3 linked regions of the Cricetulus griseus genome follow. The protein of the gene in region 3 purifies or fractionates together with the protein of the main gene of each other region. This does not show direct contact. Links are inferred from orthologs where the notes say so. Each region holds a gene or a part of one and is shown on either strand. Other genes may lie near its edges. The genes, in order: Lsm12, Pabpc4 and Atxn2.

Region 1 (7,896 bases), on a different chromosome or scaffold from region 3:
ACTCTGTAATCAGGCTGGCCTCAAATTCACAGAGATCTGTAACATAAAATAATATAAACCCAGAGGCAGATTTTAGGTTTAAAACTGAAGATCAGATAAACAAAACAGCCAAATCACCAGAGAGCTCTTCTTACCTCTACCAAGGCTGGGGCAATCCTGTCCTCATCGTGGCTGGAGACTAATTGTCCAAGACTGAATGCCAGCTCTGAGACCCTGCTCCTGCTCCTGTCTTATATACTTCTCTAGTGCTGGAATTAAAGGCATGAGCTCTGTTTCTCTTTTCAAATGCTTCACTCTCATGTAGCCCTGGGTGGCCTTGAACTCAGAGATCCATCTACCTCTGTCTCCTGAGTCCTCAGATTAAAAGTGTGTGCCACCACTGCCTGACCTCTCTATGGATATGGCTAGCTTTGCTTCTCTGACCTTCAGGAAAGTTTTATTAGATAATAAACAATACATCACCAGAGATCAGACAGCCTCTGGCTCCCAAGTGCTGGGATTAAGGCATGCACCACCACCGCCCACCTATGAATCTCTTCTCTTAAAAGTATGAAGCACTCCTAAATCTTCACCCATTATGCACTATCCACATCACATAACTCCAGGTCAGTGGGCAACACCCCTTATAAACCGCATGGACTCTAGGTTTAAAAAAGGGGTGAGGGCCAGGCAGCAGTGGCACATGCTTTTAATCCCAGCACTCAGGAGGCAGAGGCAGGTGGATCTGAGCAGAGGCCAGCCTGGTCTACAGAGTGAGTTCCCAAGACAGCCAAGGCTGTATTATTACATACAGAAACCCTGTCTTGAAACTACCCCCCCAAAAAAGAAGGAAAAAAAGGGGGGGTGGTTATTGGGAAAGAGGGTTGGGAGATGGATCAGTTGAAGTGCTTGCCACACAAACAGGAGGCCACGAGTTCAATTCCTAGGACCCAAATAAAAGGCTGGCTTTAGACTATCTGCTTTGGGGAGGAGAGACAAACAGAACTCTGGAGTTCTCTGGCCAACCAGTCTGGCTGAATCAGTGAGTGCCAGGTTCAATTAGACCAGGTCTCAAAAAATAAAACTAAAAGTGAAACAGGAAGAAATCCCATGTCAACCTCTATTCACAGTCCTCTTTATGAAGGGCAAACACAAGCTCTCAACCCTACTTGAGTATTAAGATTAAGCTAGGAAGGGGCTAGGTGAGATGCTTTAGTGGTTACGAGCATTTGATGCTGTTCCAGAGGATCCGAGCATCCCTATCAGATGGCTCACAGCTGCCTGTCACTCCAGCTCCATGGATACAATGCCCTCTTCTGGCCTCTTCAGGCACTTGAACACATACAGCATACACATTGACATACACAGAGAATAGGTTGGGCATAATGGCATAGGCCTTTAATCCAAACCCTTGAGAGAGGCAGAGGCAGGTGGATCTCCATGGGTACAGGGCCAGAATGGTCTATATGGGCAAGCTCCAAACCAACCAGGGATACATACATAGTGAGCCGTGTCTCAAAATAATAAACAAGTCAATAAATAAATAATTATTATTTGTATACTGTTCCAATCTAGAATTTCCTATGTAGACCAGACTGGCCTTGAATTTACAGCAATCCTCTTGCCTCTGCATCCTGCATGCAGGGACTACAACCATGCTCAACTTTCAAGTCATGTGTACTTTTTTCCCTTTGTGACAGGTCTCATATATTCCAGGCTGGCCTCAAACTCACAGAGCTCTGCCTGCCTCTGCCTCCCGAGTGCTGGAATTAAAGGTGCTCGCCATCAACACCTGGGGACCTTCAACTTCTGAACCTCCTGTGTCTACCTCCCAAGTACTGAGATTGCAGGCATGCACCACCCAAGTTAAAGGTATTTCTTTTTCCTTTCTTTTTTATTTGTTTTTTATTTCTTTATTTATTTGTTTTTTGAGGTAGCTTCTCTGTGTAGCTTTGGACTCTGTCCTGGAACTCACTCTGTAAACCAGGCTGGCCTCCCAAACTTAGAGACCCAAAGTTATTTCTTAAGGTGCAACAAAGATATTCAGAAATAAAGGGAACAAATTATACAAATATACTTTAGAAAAGATAACAAGCCAGGCAATTTTAACACTTAAGAGGTGTAGTCAGGAAGATCTGAGTTTAAAGTCATTATCACAAAGTATACAGAACAAGTTCAAGGCCAGCCTAGGCTACGTGAAACCCTGTCTCATATAAGCCACCAAAGAAAGGCCGGGGAAGGCGCTCAGCTGGCAGAGTGCTTGCCTAGCAGGCAGGAGGGCCTGTGTTTGATCCCCACATCACAGAAACCATTTGTGGTAGCACATGCCTATTATAATCCCAGCACTGTCCTGGAGACAGTCAGGAAAATCTGAAGTTCAAAGCCGTCCTTGGCTATATATTAAGTTCAAAGTTAGCATGGGATATATGAGTACCTCCTCAAATGGGAAAAAGAACAAGCAGTCCCTGCCCCTCCCCAAGAAAAAAAAAACAGAATAAGCAATGTATATATCACAAAAAGTCAGTGTTTTAGACAGCTAGAACTGCCCTTGAAACCTTACCTTACTAACATTAAGTGATGCTAGTGGAGGAGGGGTTTCTGTTCGATCATTAATTATTTCCACTTCAGAAACATACTGTAAGTTTATAAGCAAGATGTCTGCGTGGTTGGGCTTTCCACTGGAAGAGGGACATTCTGGTGAGAAAATAAAGTTAAGGAAAATAGGACAAAGGCACATCTCATGAGTATAGAAAGAAATACAAGCTTATAGAAAAGACAAGCAAGCCCCATTAAGTGCTTACTCTCTTCCCCCATTACCTTGCTTCTGCCCAAAGACATAACCAGAAGATCTCAAGCTTTTCAAAGCCATAAACAGGCAGAAACTGAAAGTCTCAAAAAGGTTTCTGTCACTTCTCTCCATGGGTTTAATGGAGAGAAATGCAGCTTTAACGCCATGTGCACAGTTTGTGTTGAACTTAGGAGCCAGAGAGGAGTCTGTGCTTTCAGGTTTGGGGTTAACATTCAAATGTCTCCTGTATCTACAGGGTGCTTCTTGCTTGTTTAGATTTCACGTTCTTTCTTTTTTCAGTTTCTTTTTCCCCACTAGTGATGTTCCCATTTTTCAAAGGCAAAAACTACACCATCGGGAAGGAAACTACCCAAAATGACACCTAGTTCATTCATCCATCCATTCATTTTCCAACCATTTACTAAGACCCTTCTGTGTGCCAGATAAAAGGAGACTAAGTCTTTTTTCTAAGACTCTTCCAACTAAGCCACTAAAGAAAGAGGTTTTAGGCCAACTATGATCTCTTGTTTTTAAAATAACACAAGATAAAGGGACTGCTCTTGTAATTAGTTTATGAAAAAATCTATCTGAGCTAGCAATTGACAACTCATGACTAATTAAAAGGCAGCAGACTTCCCAAGAAACTTCACTTTAAACCGAGTAGTGGTGGCACACACCTTTAATCCCAGCACTCACAAGGCAGAGGTAGGCGGATCTCTGTGAGTTCAAGGCCAGCCTGGTCTACAGTGAGCTCCAGGACAGGCTCCAAAGCTACACAGAGAAACCCTGTCTTGAAAGAAAAATAAACAAAAGAAACTTCATTTTAAAGACAGAGGCTACCTTCGCCTAAAAATAAATAAATAAATAATTCAAGTAAGCCCACCTGTAGCTCAAATAAAGGGGGAAGTAGTGCTACATTTATTCCAACCAGGAAGTGTTTTGTTTTCCAACAGTGAGTTTGCTGGAGTAATTCAGAAATCATTTCCACCCCAAGGGAGCAGGGCCACCTCTTCCATGCAGTGTCACATTGGTACTTTAAAAAAGGAGGACATTTTGCTATGTATCGAACTGAACACTGACATACATAAACCCCTGAAAAACGGGGCAAGTCCTCCCTGGACCAGGCTTCCAATTCCAACACCCCCTAAACAGCAATTTTCAAATGACTGAGAACCTCAAAATCACCACACACACATCCCCCCCCCCACACACACACACACAATGACACCAAGCATACACGACTCTAGCAGAATCAGCCACCAGCACAGAATACGAAATTCTGTCCTGCACTTCCTACCCGCAAACTGGCAAGGGCCATTTGGTCACCATCCCACCGCCCTTTCTTGAACCCAATCTCATCAGCAGACAGCCCACTCCTGAAGTCCAGACCCTTGCCCTACCAGCAGTCCCTGACCCTACACACCCCTCCCCGTAGCATTTTACCGCTCCCCACTTCATCCGGGCTCCAATCGGCAGCCCCCGTCCCCACCAAGACCCCCTCCTCCTTCAATCACTGAGACCCCTGCCCACACCGTTCCCTCCCCAAGAGCCACCCCGCGTGTCAAGCCCCGCTCCACCCACCAACCCTCGACTGGGGCCCGGCTCTCACAAGCGGTGGGAGACAAGGGTCCCCCAAGTGGACCGAAAGGCCCGCGGGAGGGGGAGGGGAGCTCGGGGCCGTGCGCATGCGCCCGGGGCGACGCGGTAGCCGGTCGCCCCTAGGCCGGGAGAGGGCCCTAGCTGCCGCCGCCGTCCCCCGCCCCCCACCACCGCACCTACACGCCGGCCCGGCCCTGGGGGGTCCACGCAGGGAAGGATACTCAGAGCCAGCATTTTGGACTGGTAGTCGAAGGCCACCACCTCGCCCTGCAGCCGCTGCTCCTGGCACGTCCGGCACGACACCTGGCTCCCAACGCTGAAATACTCGCCCGGAGGAGCCGCCATCTTGGGAGAGCAGCCGCGGGCGGCGGCGGCGGCGGCAGCAGCGGGCGAAAGCCGGGCCCCCAGCAAGCGCCGCGCCGCGACGCACGGGGCGTGCTGACGTCACGCGCCGGGGCGTGGTCTGGTGCTGGGTGGGGCGGGAGCCTAGGTGGAAGAGGGAACAGGAAATAAAGGGCAGTGTTGAGAATACCGTGAAAATGTTTGTGTGGCCGCCTGGCTGCTTGGTTAGGTGCTTGCAGGGTTCTTTTGAAAGTCAGGAAGAAGATAAATAGACGTAGAGGATAAATAACCTCTACGAAAGGAACGAAAAGGAAAAAAGGGAGGCAGCTGGAGTCTCTGCTAAGCCCACACCTTGCACAAAAACGTTTAATGAATGAACTCAATAAAATATTGTCCTCACTTGCATACGAAGAACTAGAAGCTCAGAGGACTTGACAAGACTCATTCAAAATTATAACTAATTACAAAGTAATTATGCAAAAAACAGCTGTAAAGTTAGGCAAACTAGAATCTAAGGCCATTTATGAAATATTCTGACCCTAAACTATCAAACCTGTCTGTGTTTCTTCAGTAAGATCTAAATACAACTTATTGAGCTTCCAGCAGCCCTGCAAGGCGGAAATCAATATCCTTATTTTACAGGTGAAGAAATGAAGTCTTAAACTTGTAATAGTCATACAACTGGCAAAGCCATGGTTTTGAATCTAACAAAGATGCTCTTGACTACTGGTCTATATATAATAGATAGCAACACTTGCCTCATAAGGCAGCTAGGAGGCTTAAGTGAGATAATGCATATATGCATGACATACAGGATCTAAATAAGTAAGTTACCCCATGGTCACCTGTCATATTTGGAACACAGAGCATTCCTGTCTCCCTGCTTGCCCTCTGTCCCAGAAAGCCAGGTAAAAAAGGAGCAGCAGCTCTGGAATGTAGCTCAGTCATATAGCATATACCCATTCTCAAGGTCTTGGGTTCAAGTCTCAGTCAGCACCACTAAAAACCAGGAAAAATAAAAAGGACAGAGGGAAAGTTCAGAACAAGCAACAGTTATAATGACAAAGCGTTTTGAAAGGACCTGCCCCTGCCCCCCAACAATATCCATCTTATATACAATACTTCACTGACCTTATGGAAGGGACAGCCTGGATGTACTTTTTTGTTTGCTTTGTTTTTTTGTTTTTCAAGACAAGGTTTCTTGTGTAGCAGCTCTGGCTGTCCTGGAACTCACTCTGTAGACTAGGCCATACACATGCTCTTTTTTTTGTTTGTTGGTTTTGTTTTGTATTTTTCTAGACAGGGTTTCTCTGTAGCCTGTCCTGGAACTCCGATTTGTAGACCAGGCTGGCCTTGAACTCAGAGAGATCCGGCTGCCTCTGCCTCCAGAGTTGCTGGGATTAAAGGCGTGTGACACCAACGCCCAGCTGCACATGCACTTTTAAAATTCTCACCACCAACTGCAATCCTTCATCCACCCAACCCATCATATAAAAATGTGAGAAACAGGTTGACCTTTCTCTACTTTAGAGGGAGGCCGAGGGCCAGATTTGGCACTACTGGTGAGCCTGAACAAAGTTCAAGTGTTTCCTTGTGCTCCAACAGGCAAAAACTTCCTTGTGTTGGAGGCATTGGTACAATCATTATAATAGGAATAAAAGTTCTCCCCCATGCTTATGCCTTTCTCAGGGGAGTGTTGTGTCTTTCTGCTCTGGCTCCATAACAAGTCATCCGAAACTCCACTTCTCCAGGGGAGGAGGAGGGAGTGTTGGGGTTAAACCCAGGGCCTTGTACCACCACTAAGCTACATCCTCAGTCCTGACTCTGCTTTGTATGACATTGTAATTAGTCTTCTGCTTTCCTCCACTGTACGCTTCAAACTCTGAAAGAAGGAATATCTACATAGAACATTGTTTTCCATTCATACGATAACAAGTTCAAGTTTGTTAGGCCCAGTAAGGGCTTAACATTTTCTTTCTTTTTTCTTTTTCTTTTTTTTTTTTCTTTTTCTTTTTTTGGTTTTTTTGAGGCAGGGAAATTTCTCTGTGGCTTTGGAAGCTGTCCTGGAACTAGATTTTGCAGACCAGGCTGGTCTCGAACTCACAGAGATCCGCCTGCCTCTGCCTCCCGAGTGCTGGGATTAAAGGCGTGTGCCACCAACGCCCGGCTAATGAATTCCAGGTTTGTTTTTTGTTGTTGGTTTTTTTGTTTTTTTGTTTGTTTTTGTAACAGGGTTTCTCTGTGTAGCTTTGGAGCCTATCCAGGCACTCGATCTGGAGACCAGGCTGACCTTGAACTCACAGAGATCCGCCTGCCTCTGCCTCCCTAGAGCTGGGATTAAAGGCGTGTGCCACCAACGCCAGAGCTTAACATTTTCTAATTAAAATAGAATAATGTTAACAGTATATCATAATAAAAGTTTCATGAGTGTGGTCTCTCTGTTTCAAATATCTTTCAGGACTTTCACCACTCACTTAAAGGAAACTTCTCTATGACATTTCTGAATCACCACATCACTCATTGGGTCATCATTAAGTAAAATAAGAATTACTTGAACACAAGTACTGCAATTCCAAGAGTTGATCTCACTATCAAGATGTCTAATTGACTAATGGGTTAAATAGCATATATAGCACAGATTTTAGACAAAGGGATAGTACACATCCCAGGCTGGATGGAGAAAGATAGATCCAGATTCCATGACACTACCCAGAACTGCACACAATTTAAATCATTTTTAAAATGTTTATTGAGTTTATTTATTTTATTTATTTACTTATTTTGGTTTTTGGAGACAAGTTTTCTCTGCGTAACCAAGCCTTGGCTGTCCTGGAACTAGCTTTGTAGACCAGGATGGCCTCCAACTCTCAGAGATCTACCTGCCTCTGCCTGGGATTAAAGGCATGGGCCACTAGCCTGCACTATTTATTTTATTTTTATGAGTAAGTATTTTGCCTGCATATATGTATGTGTGCCCTGTGGAGGTCAGATGATGGTATCAGATACCCTGTGGAGTCACAGATAGTTATGAACCACACGAGGGTGCTGGGAAATGAACCTGGGACCTCAGCAAGAACAGCAAGTGCTCTGAACAGCTGAGCCATCTCTCCAGGACCCACAATTTAAATCTTCCAGAGACCCAAGTTCAATTCCCAGCATCCTCATGGTGGGTGGGAAGGTCTTAGTGG
Region 2 (7,321 bases), on a different chromosome or scaffold from region 3:
AAAAATGAAGCCACAGAGTCAAGAGCAGTAAGTGGACACTTTTGGAACAGAGGCTGGGATCATTGTACCTGCTCAGCAGTGAATGCCACACCTGATAGGTCATGACCTTACACCGGAGGCAAGCACTCTTTGAAAGCAGCCAGCTCACCTGGTAACGACTAATTCGCTCCTGCTTCAGCTGCTCAAATTTCCGTTTTAATTCAGCCTGGCGCTCTACTTTTTTCTGTGCACGGCCTACGAATATTGCTTTCCCACTCATTTCTTTTCCATTCATTTCTTCCACAGCCTAGAGAGAAAATGTATGTCTTTAATGCAGGTTCAGAGACATGGTCTTCTGGAGCAGAGTCCAGGACACCCAGAAAAACCTATCCCACTGGACCGAGAATTTGTGTCATCCCACCTGAAGCCTGCTACACTGATCTGGAAAGCGGGGTTAGCTACCCGCTTTCTAACCCTAGCCACACCTCTTGTTCTTAATTCCCAACCCTAGCTCTAACACCTTCCAAACACCCTCACCTCCTTGCCCTGGAGGAAGTGTGGCAGAGCTGTAGGGACAGGCCCCAGGACAAATGGGCAACGACCCGTCTGGATATTCTCTGCTCTACTGTAGCACCGTCTGTCCCCAGACCGGCACCAAGCAGCAGGACTGGGAAAGATTTGAGTGCAGGCCGGGCATTGGTGGCACACGCCTTTAATCCCAGCACTCGGGAGGCAGACAGGCGAATCGCTGTGAGTTTGAGATCAGCCTGAACTACAAGAGCTAGTTCCAGGACAGCCTCCAAAGCCACAGAGAAACCCTGTCTCGAAAAACCAAAAAAGGATTTGAGTGCAGAGGGCAAAAAGAGGGAGAGAAGATGCATGCCCCCCTCCTGCGCCCGTGCATTTGTATGGGCAGATGCCCTGATCTAGCAAAGGGGCTTTTCAGGCCCCTTTGCAGGCAGAAGTTCAACTTTGGAGGCTTCAATTTCCCTACCCAAGAATGGGTACCTGTCCCAATCTTTCAACAGTAGGAGGTGACAGGTATGAGCAAATGCTGGGTGATGTAACTGTGGACTGGACTGCATCTGTGCTGATGACATGGACCACTACGCAGCCACTCACTGGGCTCTACCGTGAACTAGGTACCGCCTACAGGTTCTTCCCGACACTCACAGTACACTCACCTTATTTGCATCCTCGTGTTTTTCGTAACTTACAAAGCCAAAGCCTTTGGATTTCCCACTGGGATCTCTCATCACCTTGACACTTAAAGTTTTACCTATTACCAAAGGACAGAACTATTAGTGACACCATCTCTACCACATCCCAAGACTTCTTGTTAGTAACTCAGCTGAAGGAATCTCTGGCTGAGCCCAGATAGGTCTGAGGCAGGAAGAGGTAAAACTCAACCAAGCATCTAGGATAACCTCAACAGACGGAGCTAAGATAGAGCCAAGAGAAAAAAAAAAAAAAAAAAAAAAAAAGGCCTGGACTATTCATTCACCCTCTGACGCTAAGTGTCCTGTTTCTTTAAGTAAAAAACAGGTTATTTCTTGAGCTGATGGTCAGTACAAGATGACACTACAGACCTCAACTTACCAAACTGGCTGAATAGCTCTTTCAGATTATCATCATCCACTTCCTCCCCAAAGTTTTTGATATAAACATTGGTGAATTCCTTGGCCTTGGCCCCGAGCTCAGCTTCCCGCTCTTTGCGAGACTTGAATCTGCCCACAAACCTACAAAGAAACCGTGAACAGTGATTAGTTACTCAGAAGGAACAAACATCATTTCCAGGGGCCCAAAGGAATGCAGGTTAAAGGCTGACAGGAGAGGTTAAGACATGAGGACCCCATCCACCATGAGAACAAGCTCAGATGCCCCAAGTCCCCAGCAGAAAAAGAAAGAGGCAGGACTATCCTGCAAGGACCAGTCCCAGGGCTCCTGGTTCAGACCAGGGCCACTCCTACCACATCACACTGCCTTCGTGAAGAAACCTGACGACCATGTTTTTAAAACGTTCATTTCTGTGCATCTATGTAAATGCATAGAAAATGTCTGGAAGGATACAAACCAAACTGTTAACAGTGGTTAGTCTAGCAGTGAGAGTCCTGCGATTGGAGGTAACCCTTGCTTTCCCGTTGTGTTCCCCTGACAGGAAAATATCTCCACACCCCACACACAGACATAAACACAGCCTTGTACATTCCATACCACAAAGGACAGAAGTAATTGTTGCTTGTAATAGCCCTTATGTAACACTACTTTCGATTTCCCCCACAAGGTTCAGCTAAGTTCTGTCCCCACCCCACAGTAATGACAAGATGTTATACAGTGTCTCTGCAAAGGGATGGTTTTTCACTGTATGCAAACTAAGCATACAGTGAAACAGAATTGCAGCTCAGAGGAAGAAGAACTAATTTGGTGCCAAAAACTAGCAAAAGACCCACGGGCAGACCTGAGTCAAAGGAAAGCCAAGGTCACATAGCTAGTATCCAGCTCCTGGTCAGCCCAGGGCCTCTCCACTCTGCCGCTGGCCAAGACCCCTGCTCAGAGTGGGCTCAGAGCTGTCCCAGCCCCGGTTGCTGATGCTCACAAAACCCACAGGTGAATTTCCTCCAAGGGAGAGGCAGCAGGCAGGCCATGGCTCGGGCAGGGAGCCGACTGTGGCGAGTCAAAAGGGCTGCCATGGCTCGGGCAGGGAGACTCACCAGCCCTGGAGTGGAGAGGTAGGAGCAGGCCACACTTGGGCCGAGAGAACCAGCAGCCGCCTTGTGTGTGCCAGTTAATACCGAGGTGGGGCCATGGCTGGCTCATGCGATGGCTGTCCTCCAGACTGGGACACTCACACTTTGCGGTCATTGAGGAGCATGCCATTCATCTTCTCGATGGCCTTGTCAGCAGCCTCTTGGGTCTCGAAGTGGACAAAGGCATAACCCTTAGAGCCATTCTCATCACAAACCACCTGTTGAAGAAAAGGCAGACCACCTGAGCATCACTGCCTGTCGCACCAGCCGGGAGCTAACATTGCACAGCTCCACTTACAAATGGTTAGCCTGTGCCTAACCCAAATCAATCATGTTTGTGGGGGGTAGGTCAACCCAGCTGGTTCTTTTAGGATACAGGGTCTCCCATCAGTCTGGAACTCCTGATTGGGTCAGGCTGGCTGACATGCAAGCCCCAGGAATTCTGTGTCAGCCTCCCCAGTACTGGTATTATACAAGCATGCCCCCACGTCCACTTTTTATGTGGACAAACTCAGATCCCTTCTTGTATAGCCAGTACTTTACCAAATGAGTTTCCTGCTGAGCCCAGGCTTTTTTCAAATTCACTTTTTTTTTCTAGATCTGGCAGAGTGTGGTGACATGCTTGTAATCCCAGCACGTGGGGATAGGCCACAGCTCAGATGAGGTTCAAGGTCATCCACAGTACATGTGATATTTTGGAGCCCAGCCTAGATTATGAGATCCAGCCTCAGAAAAGAAAGTGTATGTGTGTTTATGTGGTTTCACTGGGTAAAGGTGCTTACCACCAAAACTACAGCCCCAAGTTCATTCCCTGGGATCCACAAGGTGGAGCAAACTGACTCTTGTTAACCATCCTCTGACCTCCATGAGCACACCCACACCGTGATACAATTTGTTTATAAATAAATAAAATTTAACTCAGAGAGAAGATAGGGAAGGCTAGAGACTGGCTCAGCAGCAGAGCACCTGAACAACATTGGCCAGGCCCTGGGTTCAACTATCAGCCAACAAAATGGGGGAAAAACAAACCCAGGAGATCTGGGTACAAACCAAAGTGCTCAGAAAGACAAACTGTATCCCAAGCCTACAAAAGAATTTAAGTCACCATGTGAAGGTTACAGAATACAGTTAACTAATGCCTCTAAGATTTAAGTAAGGGTTTCTGGAAACAACGGGCTTATGTCCTCTCCTCTCCCTTATCCAAGCTTCTAAAAGTAGGTAACAAAGTGGTATGTGTATGAGTGCTCATGAAGAATAAAGACACAAAAGCACCTGCAAGGCACTAGAGCTCATCTGACAGAGTGCTAGCCCAGAATGCCAAGTCCCGAGCACACATTTGTCATCTTAGCATCTGGGAGCTAGAAACATGACAACCAGAAGTTCAAAAGCCAAGCTGAGCTATATGTATCCCCATCTCAAAACAAAAAATTTCCAGGTTACATGAGGCTGTGGCTGGGATTATCTACAAGTCCTTTATTGAAGCCCCTATTCCCAGAGCGGGAGCCAGCTTGGTGGATGAGCATTTGCCTAATGGAAGACCTCTCATAACAGCTATTCAGGATGTGGAGACTCATGACAATCAAAAGCTCAAGGCCAGACTAGGCAACCTGGTGAGATCTCAAAAAAAAAAAAAAAAAAAAGAGGGCTGGGGATAAAGCTTGCTGGACCCCAGAGGCTTTATACAGAGATGGGGGAGTTGTGAGCAACTGTAATGAAATGCACTGGGTTGCGCACGCGCCCCCCCCCACTCACACAGAGAACAGCAGTAGGTTTGTTAAGAACTAGGGATAGGACTATGGGAGCAAGCTAAGAGAAAGCAATGGGGATATACCCATCAAGAGTATTACGTATAGGCATAAAAATTTCACAATGAAAACATTACCTGTCACTAACATGTGCTAATAAAAAACACGTCAGTGGTAGAACACATGCCTTACATGCATGAGGCCCCAAGCTCAAACCCCAGGACTAAAGGAGGGAGACATTCCATTTCCAGCATTTAAGAAATTATCATACCCAATTGTCCAAGGTACCTTCCCTTTGATAGTACCTTGTTTTGAGTCTTTCTAAACCCCAAACTGGCCTTGAACTCCCAAGATAGCTCCTATCACAGTCTTGAGAGTATACCACACCCAGCTTTAATATTTATCTCATTTTCAAGATGCAGTAATTATTTAGTTAAAATAATTAACGTTTACCTTACAGGACAGGATGTTTCCAAAGGCTGAAAAAGTATCATAAAGTGCCTTGTTGTCTATAGATTTATCCAGGTTCTTGATGAAGACATTCCCTACACCAGACTTTCTCAAAGAGGGATCCCTCTGAGACCACATGATCCGGATTGGCTTTCCCTTAATCACATCGAAGTTCATGGTGTCCAAGGCTCTCTCAGCTGTAGAAGAGGAACATATTTTAATTAAGAATGCTAAACATCAACTAAGATGACTGTCACCATTCCAGAAAGATCACTGAACCGTTACTACCTAAGAAAAAGAAAAGGTACCAAAGTGGCTCTGGGCACCAAGGTCCTCACCATGGACTAAGCTCATGTTCAAGGGACTTTATACCCACCAATGACCACCTTGACACAGGTGAGGAGTCAAAATAGTCATGTTCAGGGCAACTAAGCCAGGTGGTTCATTAGTAAATAGAAACTTAACTAGAGACTCAAGTACAATTTTTTATGTTTTCTTCTTGAGGCAGGGTCTCTAGCTCTGGCTGTCCTGGAACCCACTTACAGACCATCAAACTCAGAGAGCCACCAGCCACTGCCTAAGTTGTGGGATTAAGAGAATGTGCCACCACACATTTTTTGTACAAAAAGTCTCTTAACTAAATGGAAGTGTGCTCAGCATTGCTGTGGCAGGGTAAACCGGCACACCTTTATCTGAGGGCACAGACAGTACAGACAGGCCCTGAGGCCTTGTGGTGCCCAGACCTTTCAAAGGTTTAATCAGAATTCTCGGAACCCTAGGAATTCAGCTGTCTTTCCTTCTGGTAGGTCAGGGAGCTGCCCAACCACACCCACCAGGTACCACAGAGGCACAGTGAAGGACCAAAGATAAACCTCAGCACAGGAAGATCACTCGTTGGAGTTCAGCCTGGGCTACATGAGATTCCCCAGTCCTATCAAAAAACAAAAAAAGTCGGGGCTGGAGAGATGGCTCAGGGGTTAAGAGCGCTGCCCGTTCTTCCAGAGGTCCCGAGTTCAATTCCCAGCAACCACATGGTGGCTTCCAATCATCTGTAATGTAGTCTGATGCCCACTTCTGGACTGCAGGGTTACATGCAGACAGAACACTGTATACACAATAAATAAATAAACCTATCTTAAAAAACAAAAAACAAAACAAAAAGTCAAAGTAGGCGGCTGGATGCAGAGCTCTTAATCCCAGCAGTTCTGTGTAAATTTCCCCCCAAATGAAAACATTCCATCCTGAGAAAAAGCTCCTTAAGCAGGAAGGTAAATAAACAATTCAAAAATAGCTTCAGGAAGTCCCTGAAACTGATCAGATTCACTAGGGCACTCCCTGCCCCACCCCTCCAAAAAAATGCTGAGCTGCCAAGATGCTCAAGAGAAAAGCCATAAAAACTGTTACAGTAGATCAGCCACCTAGAAAAAGCAGAAACCAGCCAAGCAGCCTGGAAGAGGGTTAGACAGCCTGAAAGGGACACTCTACAGCCTGTTGAGCTGCCTGAAGTCTATGCAGTGTGCTTGCTCCAGGTTCCCAGCTTTGTGAGCTATCACACACTGGGGTGGGCTCAGGCAATGTAGCTGTCTCAGGCACATTTCTGTAAGTAACCACAATAAAACTCACTGGTTTGTGGTGGGCTTCACTGGTATCCATACTTTGATCTGTCATGGGCCCTTATCTGGGGTGAGCAGATATGTGTGCTGCACAACAAAGGCCAGCCTGGTCTACATTAAGTAGTGTGTTCTAGGACAGCCAGGATCACAGAGACCCTGTTCTCAAAAACAAAAAAAAAAAAAAAAAAAGCGAGTTGGCCAGGCGTTGGTGGTGCACGCCTTTAATCCCAGCACTTGGGAGGCAGAGGCGGGCAGATCTCTGTGAAGTTCGAGGCCAGCCTGGTCTACAGAGTGAACACCAGGATAGGCTCCAAAGTTACATAGAGACCCTGTCTCAAAAACAACAAAAAAAGCAGGCAAGCCTATTTCTCACCTTACCCTTCTGACTTCAAAGAAGGACAAGGACTAGCAGTAAGCCTAGTAGTGGGGCAACTGCCCAATACAGCCAAGACCCTGGGTCTCTTTAGCATTGCAAAGAAATCAATCAGCCAAGTCAGATCAGTGAAAGTCAAGTAGAAGCTTGCCCCTAAGTCTGCAAACTTAAAACTATCCCATGATATTAGCAGTTAAGGAGCCCATCCCAACACAATTCCTGATCTATTTCAGACAACACCAGTGGAGCTGGTAAGCCGACAAATCGGGCTGCGCTTATTTATAGCCGGGAGAAGTCCTACAGTGGTATGTGTTGGCACACATACTGACCAATGGCTTCTGCTATCTCTAAGAGACACAACTTGTTCAGAAGCCAAAAGAGCAGGCAACAGCTAAGGGACTCCATCACTCCCCC
Region 3 (7,321 bases):
TTTATAGCTTGCCCCCCACCAAGAATTAATGACTTATTGAGTATGGCTCCGTTTTGATCCAAAAGGAAGTTGGCACCATGAAATTCCTGCAACAGCTCAAAGTAAGTGTTCTGTCCAAGGTGGCAGCAGGGTGGAAGGGTATGTTCCTGTACATACAACTAATAGGGTCTATACTGGTCTGGCCTTTTCCAGGTGACACAGCTCACAGGGGCTAGAAAGTGGCTGCTCCTGAGCTCAAAGGTGCGGGTCATACAGACTTTGGGTTCACAGCTGTGGCAGTAGGAAGTCACAATTTAATTCAGAGGCAGATATGCTGATACCCTTCTCACCTGGTTACCCTCTACTGTGCAAGCTTGTGTGGCCCTTAGTGGATGGGGGTGGGAAGAGCAGCCAACTGTGCTTAATCTTGCAACACACCATTGTGTTCACAGAGCAAGGCACATCCCACATAGGTGCAGATTTGTGTTCCATCTTTAAGAGAACTAGCTTTCCTTCATTTTCCATAAAAAGTATGAGCCAAAGATAAAAGCAATATTCAGCCACTGGTCCAGACTCCTCTAAGCTATGTAGTCCTGGAAAGGGGCTGATTGGACGATTGTATCTCTGTCTATACAAACTAGGGGCATTCATTTCTCCTGGGTTCATCAGACAAACATCTCTCAGTAGAGGGGAGACTGGCCACACACTGTAAACCAGCACCTCTGCCGCACCATGGTTGGAGAAGCTTCCTTTCAAAAGGTGTATTTTATGACAGTCTTCTCATGGCTCTGGAATAGAGTGGCACTAAGCTATCACCTTTTCTTTCTGCTACAGTAGGTCCAATTGGCTGAAGGGGAATAGGTGGCTTAATGAGGTCCAGGCAAGATGCCTTCACCAGTGTCATTACCAGGCAGGCACCATTCCCACCCCCAGTATTCCTGACAGACCACCACTGGCAGGTGAGGCCACACTAGGCACAGTGTGAGTTGGCCCTATAGAGACTCCCTGCACCATTGCTTCCTTCTGACTACAACTATACACTAACAGCCACCAGCACCAAAGAATCGAGTCAGCTAACCTGCCTTGACTTTAGACCAGCAGTCCATATGGCTTTATCTGATAGAACTCTTCCTTCTGCCTTTGATCATTTCTGAACCCTAGGAAAAAGGAATAGTGACCATTAACAATTTTGGGCCAGATAACACTATTTTTCAGAAGTTTCTTAACCTAAAAGGAGGCTCATCTCTTCCCTGAGGGCTCTTGTTCAAATGTTACCTTAGTGCAAACATCAAGTCACTTGTCATCTACTGCCTCCTAATGGAGATGCATCTAACAGCCAGTGTGTAAGGCTGGAATAAGCATTGTGACAACAGGAAGAAGGGATTTCATCTTCTATCATTACAGGCAGAAGGTATTTGGCAAATCTTTGTTTTATGTACTGTATGAGTAACTTATTCTTGAATAATGCAGATTTTGCTACAGTGTACAAATTGCTATATGTGAATTAAAAAGGTTTTCAGAATTAACGACCATGATCTCTGCAACACCAACCCCCTCTCCACTTACCTTTCCCCTATAGCAGACAGTTCTGTTCTTCTGGCTTTCCTGTTCTCTGAATCCCTTCCCAGCTCCCCTAGGGATAGAACCAGCGCTCTGTGCTATTAGCAAGCACTCAGCTACCAAGGACACACCTCCAGACTGGTAAAGAAGTTATAACTCTCCTGCCCCCTGCTGGTAATACAGGCCTGAACTGTGGATCAATAGTGGTTTGGTTAAGTCTGGAGATAGGAAAAAAGAAGTATAGATACAGACTTTTGATGGTCCCCCCACCTCTGGCCAGCCTTCCACTAATTCACCCAAGAGGGTTTCTCAGTCTTGACTTTTTCTAGATATCTTGAGCCAGATGAAGGTGAAAAAGAAGTCACTGATTAGCACCTCATCCAATAGGAGCCTGGAACAGTACACCTAGCCTGCCTGTCCAGGGTCTGCACCCCACAGCAGCAGGAGTCGCCACAAACACACACTAACTGGGTATCAGTTTTTAAAACTTTTTTTATTTTTTAATTTTTTTTTTAGTTTTTATTTTATATTATCTACAAAGTAAAAGTTTTCCCTTAACTTAAAAGTTGAACCACTGTAGACAGTGATTGCCTCATCAAACTTGATTTATAAATAATAATCCGTCAGTTTGGCGGTAAGAATTTACTGAACTTCTGTCAAGTTTAGTAAAAGGGCGTTCCAAGTCTTGATTTTTTTTTTTTTTTTAAAGCGGTAATAGCAGCAAGAATCACTCTTGTTACTTCTTTTGCTAGCTGATGCGTTCATGACTCTCAAGGGCCATTAAAAAATAAATAACTTCCAGTTTCAGCAAGCAGAGCTGGGTACTTGCGGGACCCTGCAACAGCACATGGAATTATGGAACAGCCACAAGTCCCTACATGCCTCTACTCGGTCCAAAACATCCTCCACTGCAAGTGAACTGTTAGCATTCCTATCGGATGTTAAATCAGTGTATTTTTTTAAAAAACAAAATAAATGAACTTCTAGTTTTCTGTGCTTCCAGTTGGTAGAAGCAGTAGAAGGGAGGAGGGAATTTGGCCTTTCGGTTCCTCCAGGGCAGCCTTACAACTGCTGTTGGTGGTGGGCTTGTACTGTAAAAAAGAAAAGTGGCTATTTAAACAGAACACAGGCACCACTGCCCACCAACCTAGTGTCTGCAGCACATGACTGTCATCTACTCTCCTGCTGAGTAACACTGGAGGTTTAATGCTAGCGCCCCTCTCCCCCCAGCTGCAGCCAAGGTGGGGTTGGGGAGGGAAGGGGGTGAGGAGAAACAAACCAGTCAGACGTGAAACCACTTCAGATACAAGTCCTGGACTTGCTGCTTGTGGGGCAGGAGCACAGGCCTTCAAACCCCCTCCCACTAATGCTAGCCAAGCACCAATACTTTCCAAGTCACAGGGGAGACAGGTATTGCCACAGCAGCCATCCAGTACGAGACATCATGGGTGTCCTGTGTCAGGGCACAGGCTGGGGCTAAAACTACACTCAATCCAGTCCGCACACAGCTCATCAGTGTTCTCCAAGCTACAATCAAAGTCGGCCATGGGTATAAACCCCCCACATCAGCCTATAGGGACTCAGGAAGGAACACGCTTGCCCTGTCCAGCCTGTCATACATAACCAGGAAGGCCAACTGAGTCCTCGGCATGCATCAGCTACCCAGAATGAGGCTGCTGCTTCTCAAGCCAACCCTGATACCAGCAGAACACACACAGACTCAGCTCCAGAGGCCCTGAGCCCTGATGCTCCCTGACCATCACAATCCCTCCTGCAAACACTTGGACGGGCCTTATTAGTCAGGTTTGGAGCCTGAAACACTCACTGGTCCTGCCTGCCATTCTACCTGTGCGAGCAGAATGCTCGGGGTGCCCCGGCGGCCCCTGCACACACACGCCTCACCTGAAGGGTGCGTCATATAGGGGAAATGCGCTGTTGTCGAGACTGGAATGGGCTGTAGTGCACTTTGAGCGAGGGCGGCCTGGGGACCGCCGGGTGGCTGTGTCGTCATTAGCATCATTGGCGCATGGGCAGTTGGATGAGAAGGAACCATTCCTGACTGTACATGAGCCTGAAACAGAGAGCTCTTTTACGCATACAGGCAACATCTCCGTCTTAAACAACAAGTCAACTGTTCCTTTCATTGGACTGGGACTCAAGAAGGGGCAAGATGGACTCCTTGAGGCAGATCCTGTAGGGTTGGGATGGGAAAGTTGGCCACATCTTCCTAGTCCCCAGTGCCTGCTCACAGATTATCACACAGGGCAAGGTCTTCACCAAGAGCAGGCCTCTATTGGGGCGGGAGGGGCACATACTTAACTTGCTATGGCATGGAGCCAAATACATCAATGCCCTTTTCAAGTCAGAAAGCAACTGACAAGGAAGGGCCTGTGAGGAGACTACCTCCCCAGCACCCATAGCAGCTTCCTGAGTCTCTCCTCTTCCGCCCTCCCCAAGTCGTGATGGGTTCCCCAGAAACAATGAAGCAGCACTTAGGCCCCTCAATGTAATAGCTTGGCTGATGGAGCAAAGGGTGCAGTTAATGGCTCCAATGAGATGAGAATGATCTGAAGTTGGGTCAGCCTGGTGTCCTGTACCAAGTGGCAACAAGTCTAACTTAGAAAAGTGATGTTGGTTGACCGGTTGGTGAGCTCGACCTCAGCTCTGCAGGGAGTGGGCAGAGCAGGAAGAGGCTGCTTCCTGCCTCCCATCGTGTGCATTGCTCTAGACCATCACCCCAGCGAAGTGCTGGTTCACACCTTCAAACAGGCCCATGGTTCTCTGTTTTCCCTATGTTAAGCCTCTTACCCTTCTACACAAACACACAATTGAGGTTTGGGGATAGCCCATCTTAAAGTAAATTCGCAGCCTCTGCTAGACACTTACAGGACCCTGGCTCTCTTAAGTTTCACTCCACCAAAGCACACTGACCAAACTGGCTCCCCTCCCAACTGTCACCAGCCAATCAACAGGAGTATATACTACAGACCCTTAGCTCTGGGGAAAGAACACCTAGTAACAAACTAGCCTTCTGCAAGAGACCCAACTGCACAGCATCCCTAGCTCACACCTTGCCAGAGCCTCACTGGCGCACTGTGACAGGAAATGGAGTCATTCAGTAAACCTAAGTGAGACCCGCCTCAGGCAGCTACAATCAAAGTAGCAGAGACACCTGATGCAGCCACCTCACACTAAGAGCCATGGAGGCCTCCCCTGGCCCTGGGCTGCCCTGGAGCTTCAGTTACACTGCACCATAGTCCAAGGCCAAGCGCTCAGGAAGCACAACACAGGATTGCAGCAGATAGAGGGTAACCAGGCAAACAACTGAGACCCGTCCCGGAATTCGTGTGTCTAACATTCAAGCTAACAGGCCTAGTGCAGTCACCTCAGAGAGCTGAGAACCATTGAAAGCCTGCCTGCCATCCCTTCCGGGCTCCCATGTGTGCATGTGTAGAGGTGTCTGTGTGTGGACACATAGACACATAGTGGTTAAGCTAGAAAGACGGAGCAAAGCAGACACAGAAAGGAAAGGACTGGGGTGCATTCCAGACTCAGAGTTTTAAGGTCTCAGCTGGGAATTGCTAAGTCACAATTTCACTGATCCCATCACAAAATCATAGCAACATTCACTGAGGGCCAGAAGATCACATACTAAGCAGGGAGGGGGAGACAGGCAGATGGCACCACACATAGGGTTTCCTGGCTTGGGGAGCATCTGGCTCCTTGCTGCTTATCTGACAACCACCACACCCTACGTGGCCTTCACAGAAACTTGGCTAGTGCTGGTTTACCTGAGGTACGTGGGCCATGTGGGGAGGGGTGGTATATGCCGGCTGAACATGAGAAGGGTGGATGGTGAAGACCGTCTGTTGTGCTGCTGGGAAACTGCTCTGTGGAGACTGTGTATTGGAAGCAGGTGTCATGGAAGGTGGGGTTGGTGCCAGCCCCGCGTGGTAAATGGCTGACTGCTGCTGTGGACTGGCCAGATGAAGAGCTTGGGCGGCTTGATGTTGATGGTGCTGCAAAGCAATGGGAAACTTCTTTACTGAGAAGTCATTAGGGTCAGAGCTTCACACACTGAAGGCAGCAGAAGCCCCACCCAACTCTAGCCATGCCCAGGAGATGCAGGGAGAAGAGCATCATGGGCATCTCTTGTCCAGATGGTCTTTTCTGGGTTCTCAAGCCCAAGTCTCAGCCTGGCAGTTACAGGTACAAACAAGCAGAGGTGGAACAACCGACAAGATGTCAGGCTGTCAACTGCCCCACTAGCTAATATGACTAAAGAAGCCAACAGGCAGCTGGGCAGTGGTGGCCAAGCCTTTAATCCCAGCACTTGGGAGGCAGAGGCAGAGGCAGATCTCTGTGAGTTTGAGGCCAGTGTGGTCTACAAAATGAGTTCCAAGACACTCAGGACTATTACACAGAGAAACCATCTTGGGGGAAAAAAAAAGCAGCAGCCAATAGGAAAGCAGCATTATTGAGTGGCTTCAGGAATGAAATTCCAGACAGTACTTTAGCTTAAAGTTCTTTGTTAAGTCTAAAGTAGCTTTTCCACACTCATGTTTCCGGCATTTACCCCGAGGGTACGGCTTACTTGACATTTTCAAGCCCTCCCCTGAACCCACAACTACCTGCAGCTACATAAGGATGGCTGTCTCATATGTCCTGATCACACAGAGACGTGTAAGTAGCAGGGACAAGGAAGCAGCTGTGCATGCACAGGCCACGGCTCTTCTTACCTGAACAGGACTGGGTGCAGGATGATTTCCACCATGCTGGCTTTGTTGCTGTCCAGTGGGAGTGGCCGAAGGCTGAGGATGGGGCGTATGTGGATGCAGGGTGGCATTAGGATGTGCATACTGCTGAGCAAGGGAGCCCGTGGAAACTAAGGCAAAAGGAAAAGGAATGTATACAATTGATACATGCTGATGACCAATCCCAGCCCAATCCCAAAGCTTCACTGAATGCTTTCACAACCACTACAATCTAACCCATGCCACTGGCATTCTCTGCATCCATTTACATCAGGCAGACTGGAAAATAGACATAAGGGCTCTGCTTAACAAGGTCAGCATTAACTCACATGTTACAGCTCTGCACATTACATCAACATTGAGTTAATTTGAGTTTACTCAAAATAATCCTATTTCTTTTGGAGGGCAGAAACAACTCCAAAAATCACTCTGGCTCACATGAAGACAGGTACAGCCTCTCTCTCTCTCAAGGCCATCATTTGGCTACACTCACCATGCTACTGTCCTACAGTCTCAGTGCCCACATTAGTGAAGCTAGGGGCAAGGACAAGGTCATTGCCATGTCAGTCACAGCATCCATTCCACTCCTGATTCCTACTGAGGAGCTCCTAATTAAGCCTGGAGATGAAACTGCCCACCCCATCCTGTTCACTAGAATAACAAAGGAAACATGATGACCCTATTAAAATGTGATCACAAAGACAAAAGACCCAGGGGCAGGTTTTTATCCATCTAGTATGGGCCCCACCTTGGTACCAAACAAGATGAAGTATTAGGCAAACCTGTGCCTTCACAACAGCAGGCTGAACATGAAAAACCTGGGAAGGCCTCACTCACTATTCCCGTGACTCTGGATAGCTCATGGGTTCAAACTTAATAGCAAGCAGAAAATGGAGTGCTCTTAAGTCATAGGTCTCCCAGTACCAGACCCTGAGCCCTTCACACCCAAGCTGTTATATCACGTTCATGCTCTTCAGATAATATGTCAGCAAACACGGAATGTGGCAGAGAAACAAAAACAGAGTCAG

What was found.
Region 1: the proteins of Atxn2 (region 3) and Lsm12 purify together in Homo sapiens (affinity purification with mass spectrometry; 4 studies listed by BioGRID and IntAct, with this or other methods). This does not show direct contact. The link is inferred for Cricetulus griseus from reciprocal best matches to the Homo sapiens genes ATXN2 and LSM12.
Region 2: the proteins of Atxn2 (region 3) and Pabpc4 purify together in Homo sapiens (affinity purification with mass spectrometry; 4 studies listed by BioGRID and IntAct, with this or other methods). This does not show direct contact. The link is inferred for Cricetulus griseus from reciprocal best matches to the Homo sapiens genes ATXN2 and PABPC4.

Annotation. Positions count from the first base shown.
Region 1 is NC_048600.1:115,913,294-115,921,189, reverse strand, and holds the start of Lsm12 (protein LSM12 homolog), read right to left. Parts: upstream 4,796-7,896; 5' UTR 4,712-4,795; coding exon 4,588-4,711; intron 2,674-4,587; coding exon 2,540-2,673; intron 1-2,539. UniProt on the Homo sapiens protein: Nicotinic acid adenine dinucleotide phosphate (NAADP) binding protein. Confers NAADP sensitivity to the two pore channel complex (TPCs) by acting as TPC accessory protein necessary for NAADP-evoked Ca(2+) release.
Region 2 is NC_048595.1:29,709,831-29,717,151, forward strand, and holds part of Pabpc4 (polyadenylate-binding protein 4), read right to left. Parts: intron 5,119-7,321; coding exon 4,925-5,118; intron 2,945-4,924; coding exon 2,829-2,944; intron 1,719-2,828; coding exon 1,579-1,718; intron 1,259-1,578; coding exon 1,164-1,258; intron 666-1,163; exon of another isoform or gene 533-665; intron 287-532; coding exon 149-286; intron 1-148.
Region 3 is NC_048597.1:101,658,871-101,666,191, reverse strand, and holds the end of Atxn2 (ataxin-2), read right to left. Parts: intron 6,425-7,321; coding exon 6,279-6,424; intron 5,559-6,278; coding exon 5,331-5,558; intron 3,611-5,330; coding exon 3,442-3,610; intron 2,631-3,441; coding exon 2,602-2,630; coding exon of another isoform or gene 2,523-2,601; 3' UTR 2,208-2,522; downstream 1-2,207. UniProt on the Homo sapiens protein: Involved in EGFR trafficking, acting as negative regulator of endocytic EGFR internalization at the plasma membrane.